2 linked regions of the Solanum lycopersicum genome follow. Each later gene encodes a partner of the first gene's protein in a complex. Links are inferred from orthologs where the notes say so. Each region holds a gene or a part of one and is shown in the gene's direction. Other genes may lie near its edges.

Region 1 (4,514 bases):
AATTGTTATTTTTTCAAAATTAAAACACTTTTTTGAATAACTATTTTAAAAATATACTTGTAAAAACAAGTAATTATAGTAGGAATGCTCCAATTCTCGAACACAAAAATCAGTGACTAAATAACCTAAAAGTAATGATTACTCATATTAGAAATTTCAATGAGAGATCAGAAACTGCGCGGGGTGGATTTAATGCTATGCGGTGCAATGCAAGTTTAAGATTGCGCGGGGTGGGTTAAAGTGTATTTCAAAAAAAACTAATGGGGTCTGAGGGTACATGTTATTTTATGCGAATTCAAACTTATTAAATTTTTTTACATGTTATAAGGTGTTATATTATTATTTATTCAGATAATTTATTTAAAGCTACTAAAATATTCAAGATAGTAAATAAAAATGATTTAATAAAAAATAATACAATTTCTTACATGCTTTCCTATTGACCTCTAAAAAAAATATTTTTTTATATCATTGTCTATTAAATTAACACAATTTAATGAAAAATAAATTTTATTCTTAGTGTCAAACTAATTAGAAAAAGAAAACATTAAAAAATGATGATGGGTTGTTCATGTGATGGCAAGGTTGGGGTTGAGAGTGAAAAAGTTGTTATTCTTGGCGGAGTGGGGCAGGCACCACACCACCCCATTGCCATCACTAACTCATATACGTGTGGCTAGTGCCGGCAAAATAAACCCATATTTTGGTGATCCGCTCAAACCGTTCATATTTTAATGGGTTGGATGAGTGATTTTTCACATGGATAAAATATGGGTTGATATCCATATTTGATCCATAAAAGTATGGGTAAATATGAGTAAATTATAAATTATTCAAATGAGTTAAACTTCTAACTTTTATTCACTCAAAATATCATTAAAAATAGTGTAGCTTATCTTGCTTTTTATGTTATACTATAAAATTAACTATTCTTCTCTCTAATTGATAAGGTGAAGTCTTTGACCCTCTAAAAATGTATAATTTAAATTTACATTCTTTTGTTAATTATAATTATATTTTATTTATTTATTTAATTTTATATTGAATAATCAATAATAGTGTAAAATAAACAAATCATTAGTATTGATATTGCTTAAAGTGCATAAGCAAGTTTTAGTCCTAAAATACAAATCTGCATTCTTTTGAAATTTAAAATATTTTCATCTTGTTATTACATAATTTATTTTATATTGAAAATTTATAGGATTATTTTTATTTTTATGATACGATCAAAGTATAAAACTAAATGAAGCGTGCATGTTTTACATTTTCACCTAAAAAAAAATTAAAATATTTTTTTCATATTGAATTCTTGAATAAAATATTATTTATTCATTAATAAAAATATGAATAAAAAATAATATTTTATCCAATTAATTTTTACTCGTATAAATATGAACCTATTTTCTATTTATCCATTTTCAACCATCCACATTCCATTCGCGGCCACTACGTGTGGCCATAACAAAGTGAATTCGAAAGATCATATCGGCTTTCTCACTACTCCCTCGTTCTTCAGTCCAATGGCTGAAATGAGTGTTACCACCGCTTCACTTCAATCCTTTCCTAAATCACTTCTCTGCTCTCTCTCAACTAGAAAATTCAACTCTTCTTTTCACCCTTCAGCTATTTTATCTCCCATTTCCAGGTTTTGCTTAATATCTAAATTCAATTCGTTTCGTTTCTCTGCTGCTGTTGTGAAGGCTGCTTCTTCTCCACACGCAAATACAAAGGAGCCAATGCTTCCTCCTTACGATGTCTTAATTACAGGTGCTTCCAAAGGTTAGTTCAATATTTATCAATGCACAATGGGTTATCATAATTTTGTCTTGATTGCGCATACCTGTCTTAGTGTACTTAAGTCTTTGTTTAGGGTTCTGTTGGGCCGTCATACATGATCATTTTATCTCTAACTTCTCTTTTTCCAACTTATAAACCTACTAAGGAACTTGAAAATGCATGGCCAAAGGGGTAAATACCATTTCCAAAAGTCAAACAAGATTGAATATGGTGTAAAATCAGATACAATGAGCTTCTTGCCAACATTTTTATGTTCTGAGTTGAAGTTGATTATTGAAGGCTCCGTTTGAACTACATTTCACTACAACAATGGTGATGCCTTATATATTCTGTCTAGTCATGCAACAACATGAAAGAGTTTAATGTTAGAAGGAGTTAATTTTTTAACGTTTGAAACAACATGACCATTCTTAATGTTTGATGTACTCCTTGGTTTCCCTTTTGCAACTTCATATTGGTTCATTGTCACCTGTGTTTTTGAAGATGTTCCCAAGAGTCGTGCAGTTTCTTCCGCTGAAACAAAAGAATATGAGGGATCACCTAAATGGCAAGAGAAATATAGTTTGCATAGTAGTGCAAACCTTATTTTCATTTTGATGACAAGCGAAACCCGTAGCCGCTACCCTTTGAGTGCGCACTGGGTAAGACCCCCACTCCAATGCAATAGCTTGGTAACCCCCACTAGGTAAGATCGGTACGACGAGCTCAACCCAGAAGGCAAACCCCTTTCTTTTGCTAGCAACTTGACAAGGAGTTTCAAACTTGAGAACTCTAACAGTCCCAAGCCCAAACCACTGGGCTAGACCTTAATTATCATGGTGGAATGATGAAGCTTAACTGTTGATGGTGTGAATTAAGTAAAATTTATAGCTTTATACTGAAGGCCATGTTTCTTCAGCTGGAGTGCTATAACATGCATCTCGATTTGTAGTTCCTTTGAGTGCCTTCAATGTCTCCCTTTCCCTGATAATTCAAAAAATGCAACGGTTGGTCATTAAAATGTATAATTTCTTGGTTCATGGTTGAAACAACCACCAACGCCTATTTATTTCATAGGTGGTCACGTTAACTTTTCTGTAACTCGATTTTATTGTTCTTTTAATATATTACGGCTCTATTCACATTTTTTTCTCGTTTTGATCGTTCTTTGATAATTTTTGTAGTGACTAAGTGTTTGTATGCTAAAACTCAGCCATGTTTTTGTGTAATCACTGGAAGACATGACTTTGTATTAGATAAGGATATAATATGTTCAATCTCCTGTTAATTGGCAACTTTAAAAGAATTCTTTACCTTCTAGCAAAACCATTATATTTGTAGCTAATAGCATGTGCTCATGGATTATATTTCAATCTGCCTACTTTGTTTCCCGAAGTGGACACATGGATATAAAACAAGTCACTCTGAAATATACAGCTGTTTCTCTATTTGTTTTCACTTAACTGCAGATGTCTAGAATTGACGTTATTTTATTATTTCAGGAATAGGCTATGCATTAGCTAAAGAATTTCTCAAGGCAGGTGATAATGTCATCATTTGCTCCAGATCAGGTGATTTTATATCATAAGTGACAATAACATTGACTTCAATGATGTCATTAACTGATAGAATTATTGGTTTTCGCATTGTTCAGTTCCTCTCTTATATTTGTTTTATTTTATAGTTTGTGAAAAAGGTAGTCAATTGTGTAAAAATGAAATATGCAGAATATATGGTGGGATCATGGGAATCGATGTGCCATTAGTGGTGTACCATAGTTCGAGAGTCATGATGATATAGGAGGAGTTGGGATACATGTTTAGTTTAAGACCACAAAATATAAAAGTCTCTCTTATTTTCTGAACTTTGTGCTTAGTCAAATTAAGACACATAAAATGAAACGGAGGGTAAAGGTGATTACTTCCCATCTGCTTAAGGCTTGATGGACAGATTACTGAATACCTATGCTGATTGGAGTTAGCAAGTATTCAGTGGAATAGTCAAGGCACATTAAACGATTCATACACCACCGTATTGTAAAAAAAATCAAGGAAATCATATGATGTAGGTGTGTGATGTCCAATTGCTACAGTTATCAAACTCGAGTGTACTATGGCAATGAAAGATATTTCATTATTCTCCTTATTCACCAAGCAAGAGATATGATGCGCAACAGATGAACACTAACTACTTCATAGTTAGTTCCTTTTGGTTGCCACAATACTATAAGAAAGAAAATGAAATTGTAATAGGCTCAGTAGTCAGAATAACTTGGATGCTGGGATCATGTTGTTGAAAGTTTGCACTGCTCTATGGTTATTATTTTAATTAGCTTGTTGTAGTTTTCCTTCCCATCAAATAGAAGAAGAAGAAGATCGGAAACCAATATTTGTATTTGGCCTTCGTGAATTTGTACCTGCACGCTCGCCTTAGTTGCGCGGACTCTCCACTTTTGGTGCCGCTCCCGTCTTGGATTCTCCAAAAATACACTACTTTTGGCGAATCCGACACGCACCCATTGACATTTTTGAAGAGTCCGAGCAACATAGACGCTCACATAAGGGGTAAACAGAGTAGTTGGAGAAATTTTACTTTTGAGTAGTTTGTATCCACTTCTGTTAAGGATGACCGTGGTCACTTTTGGAACGAAAGCTAAGAAGCTACAGCTTGTGGGAAGAAAAAAAAAGTTGCAGGCATTGGGTTAGTGATCTCTAGAGACATTAAGTGCCATACAT
Region 2 (4,286 bases), on another chromosome or scaffold:
AATTACTCATTATAGTTATAGTTTGCTATAATTACCACATGCGACTAACATTAACCATTAATTATGTGGGCTGACTTCGAGTTGTATAATTAGTCACGTTTGTATAATTATCCACATTCGTATAATTCACAACTAACAATTCTTTGTTTGATTTATATTTCTATACGATGATTTGTATTTGCATATGAGATAATTTCCTTTGGTTTCTCAGTTTTGTCACTTTATATATTCAATCTTTTTGTGTATAGCTTTCAAAAGTTTGTATAAACGTGCACTTTTTTTTTATAATATAATTTATTTAATGTAACTATTTAAAGTCAATAAATGTATATTTATATCAATTCGTTATTTTGAGGTGTTTTTTTTCATATTTGTATAATTTTAAACTTAATATTGCTCAATCATGCAAAAACACGGAATTATACAAAGGTACCCACGAATTATACAAACGAGATGCGAATATACAAATTATTGCCCTCTCTCACTTGCCTCTCTCCTCCCTCTCCCGATCTCGCTTGATTCTCTCCTCTCTCTCCCAATCTTGCTCGTCTCTCTCCTCCCTCTCACAACCTAGCTCGCTTCTCTCCTCCTTCTCCCAATCTTACTTGTCATATATACAAAACCTATATGAATAATATTCAATTATCTAACCAATATACATACACAATTTACCTCTATCCCATTTCTACCCTCTCTCCTCCATCTCTCAATCTCGCTCATCTCTCTCCCTCCTCTCTCAATCTCGCTTGCCATATATAGAAATACATATGTATAATACACAATTATCTACCTGATATACATGTGTAATTCACCTCTCACTCTCTCGCTCGTATCTCTTATCCCTCTCTCAATCTCTCTCGTCACTCTCTTTCTCTATAACATATAGCTACGAATTGTAATTAACAAATTATAACTATGAAGCATAATTAGGCTATTTTTGAGTGAATATATGCAAAGTTCCTTTTTATATTATGGACCAATTCAAGTTTTTTAAAACTATAGTTATAAATTTGATAAAATATAATAATTTTCATAGATATAATTGATAAATTAAGAAATGCATTAATTTAAAGTCAAAATAAATTCATATTGCGAGAACAATCATTATATGAGATACAAACCGTTTAAAAAATCATGATAGAAATTATAAATTTTATTTACATATGAAATAAATGACTGGTATATATATATATATATATTGTATTTTTAAAAATCAGAATTTTGAATTAGGATTTAAAATACAAAAATTTGATTAAAATAACCATGTTTAAGATATGTTTAATCAAATTTTTGTATTTTAAATCCTAATTCAAAATTCTGATTTTTAAAAATACAAACGACAGCGTATTACATGGGCCACAGCACGTGATGTTCGTTTGCTTCCCAAAAAGCAAAGAGATAGCAGTGAACATGACAGTCCTCCTGCTATGGCTGTTCCACTCTCCTCTGCCAAATTTCACACTTCAATTCTCACACAATCACTCCCCTCTTCTTCCTCTCGTTCTTTTTCCGTCGGAAAACGCTTCTGTTGCTCGTCGTCATCAACTTCCATGGAACATCATGAATCGAAATTTAAGGAATTTCCTTATGCATCTGTTCCGCATAGAGAGTTAATGGTGGAACTTGTATCGACTGTGGAGAATCGTCTTGGAGAGTCTCTACTTCCTTGTACTCTGCCTTCTCATGTGCAGTATTTTGAGAATGAATCTGCTACTGCTCATGCTTCTCTCTATGTCAGATCTGGAAATTCCTCTTCTCAGGTACTCTCCGACTACCTCCTCAATTGATTCTACTATTTATTACCTATTCATTCGTTTTTGCAGTTGTGTCAATTATATGTAGTATGATATAGAATTACTTCCTGTTGGATGTTTTGTTGAATTAGTATATACAGGGTGAATAACAAATCTATGGACAAAGAAATTGATTTTCATAATAATAAAGTGTGATACCAATAGTTTAGAACCCTTATTTTCAAGGAAAAGTTTGTCTTGGGACTTAATGACGACACTGAAGTGCACATTAAGCGAAGTGGTCAACATGTGTAAGCCTTGCTTCAAGGCTTGAGCATGCATAAAGTATGCAACCAAAAAAAAAACGCCAAGAATTTTCTCCTAATGCCCTTCAATATGAATGAATACACTACTATCTTGTACATAGTGAAGTTGATAAAGAAAACAAGAAAATTATTATGTACTATAGAATAATGATTGAGAAAGCTAGATCTTGTCATCTTATTTTAGTGGATTTGGCTTATGCAGAAGAGTTAATCCATTACGCATTGTGCTTTTTGTAGATTGTCCTTTTTACTATGTATGCTAATTCTTTTAATAGAAGTAACATGAATTGAAATGCCAAATACTTATCTGTATAATGTGGTGATGGGAGTTAAGAAGATCAGCAAATGTATTTTTGGTTTTATTCACCCAATGAAGTCAGACAAGATTTTTATCAAATCTGTTTCCTTTGAGCTAATTTCAAATTGAGTATTTCTTGTTCAAGCTATATATCTTGCACTTTCTAGTAAATAACAATCCATTCGTTACAATTAAAAAATATATAACAAACAAAATTCGTGAATGTGCTGCAAACTCCCACTAATATTTTAATAGTTTGCAGTTTGTTCTGTGAAATACATCTCAACTAGTTTTTCTGTGATCTTGTCAAAGTAGTTTGATCTCTGCTTGTTCCCCATTCCCTAGCTTCAGGAGCTGTAGGGGGAAAATTCATATGATCTGCAATCTCACCTTCTCACCATTACCATTCCCAACTTCAATATCTGGCGGCACTGAGTTTCCCATCTGAATAGGTGCTGAGGTAAGTTGTGAACTAGTATCCAATCTGGAACAATAGAAGTTTCTTGCTCTGGTTTAAAATTCTGTGCACATCTCAGGATTTCATAGTGTATGACCGACCCAATGTGAATGAATGACTTGAAAAAATGTTATTGAAGTCTGTTTTGTTACAGAAAGTCAATGTAAATAGTGTTGTAGTTGTAGTACCCAATCTCGACTCTTCCTTTCAATTGAAATTGACTCACAAAAATTTTCCTTAGTTCTTTCATAGTAGGTTCCTTTGATAAATTTACCCACAATAGTCATTTGCAATTATTAGCCAAATTCACGAAATAGTCATCAGCAGAGAAATATATGGTTGGCTTTCCGAGATGAGTCTCATGCCTAATTTCAACAGGAGCTTCGGCGATTGAGGCATTGGCAAATCAGCTTGAACCTTTCTGTGAAGGTTGGTTTCGATGAAGTAGCACCCTTTTACCTTTCCCTGCTAAATTGGGATGTTTCTGTTGGAGTTGAATATTGGGGTTCTGATTTATCAGTGGCAACAGGGTTATGATCAGTTCCATTGATGTTGGTCGCGTCATCCGATTTCAATTTTGAAGAGGGTGTGTGAAATCTGAGGACACCTTTGGCTGAGGGGTTAAATGATTTTGGTGGGTGGATTTTGAATGGGTAGTATTTTCCTGTTGAGGTGTTGCATGCGTGATCTGCAAAAGAGTAGGCTGAGTGTTAATAGCAAGTTGGAGGTTCTGGTGAACTGTTAGGGGCAAGCTTTAGGAGTTTATTATTGTCCATGTGTTGTTCCTCTGAAGGATTGGAAGAAATAGGGGATGATGTTTATTGGTGTTGTGGTTGTTGGTGCTAGAAGGAGTTGATTATTGTGTGTTTGGGATTTTTCGGCTGGATTGGTTCAAACTAACCATTGGGGGTTGTAGGAGAGCGGGTGCGTTTTACTGAGTTGTCGGTGTAGGAGAGACTGCAGTTGGTTGAGATGAGTATGGATTGAATGTATAACTAGTGTTTTAGGTGGGTTCCGATGCACAATTGGTGTTTGCTGAAAAGATCAATAGATCTTCATAGAGAGAAGCTAAGAGAGTGTGCATCCAAAATTGACCAACCAATGTAACTGCTCGATTTCAAGAATTATCCTTGTTCATAATTTGTAGTTCTCTGCAAGTTGCATTCACCTGATGTCTTCTTGGGGAGTTATACATAAGGACTGCAAAAGCATCAGGGAGATAGCAATTTGGATCTGGCTTCTGTTCATTTATTCTTATCCAGTTCCATTCCTCCGCTTATAGTTAGTCATTCCATTGAGAGTTCTTTGACAAGTCCATTTAGTGTTCTTTTTCTAATGCCTATAATAAAAGATGAACTGGGAACACACAGTTAACGATTTCAACTTTCTCATCAGGAGTATAAGCAAGGTTAATATTTTTGCCTATTCTAAATTGTGACAGGTTGATTTCATACTTGGTAGTTGGGTTCACT

What was found.
Region 2: chlorophyll(ide) b reductase NOL, chloroplastic (region 1) and red chlorophyll catabolite reductase, chloroplastic share a complex: the UniProt entries of both Arabidopsis thaliana proteins name them as parts of the SGR1-CCE-LHCII complex. The link is inferred for Solanum lycopersicum from reciprocal best matches to the Arabidopsis thaliana genes NOL and ACD2.

Annotation. Positions count from the first base shown.
Region 1 is NC_090804.1:48,915,766-48,920,279, forward strand, and holds the start of chlorophyll(ide) b reductase NOL, chloroplastic, read left to right. Parts: upstream 1-1,423; 5' UTR 1,424-1,523; coding exon 1,524-1,782; intron 1,783-3,281; coding exon 3,282-3,350; intron 3,351-4,514. UniProt on the Arabidopsis thaliana protein: Required for chlorophyll b degradation. Chlorophyll b, chlorophyllide b, pheophorbide b and pheophytin b can be used as substrates. Belongs to the chlorophyll catabolic enzymes (CCEs).
Region 2 is NC_090802.1:10,423,363-10,427,648, forward strand, and holds the start of red chlorophyll catabolite reductase, chloroplastic, read left to right. Parts: upstream 1-1,360; 5' UTR 1,361-1,427; coding exon 1,428-1,760; intron 1,761-4,255; coding exon 4,256-4,286. UniProt on the Arabidopsis thaliana protein: Catalyzes the key reaction of chlorophyll catabolism, porphyrin macrocycle cleavage of pheophorbide a (pheide a) to a primary fluorescent catabolite (pFCC).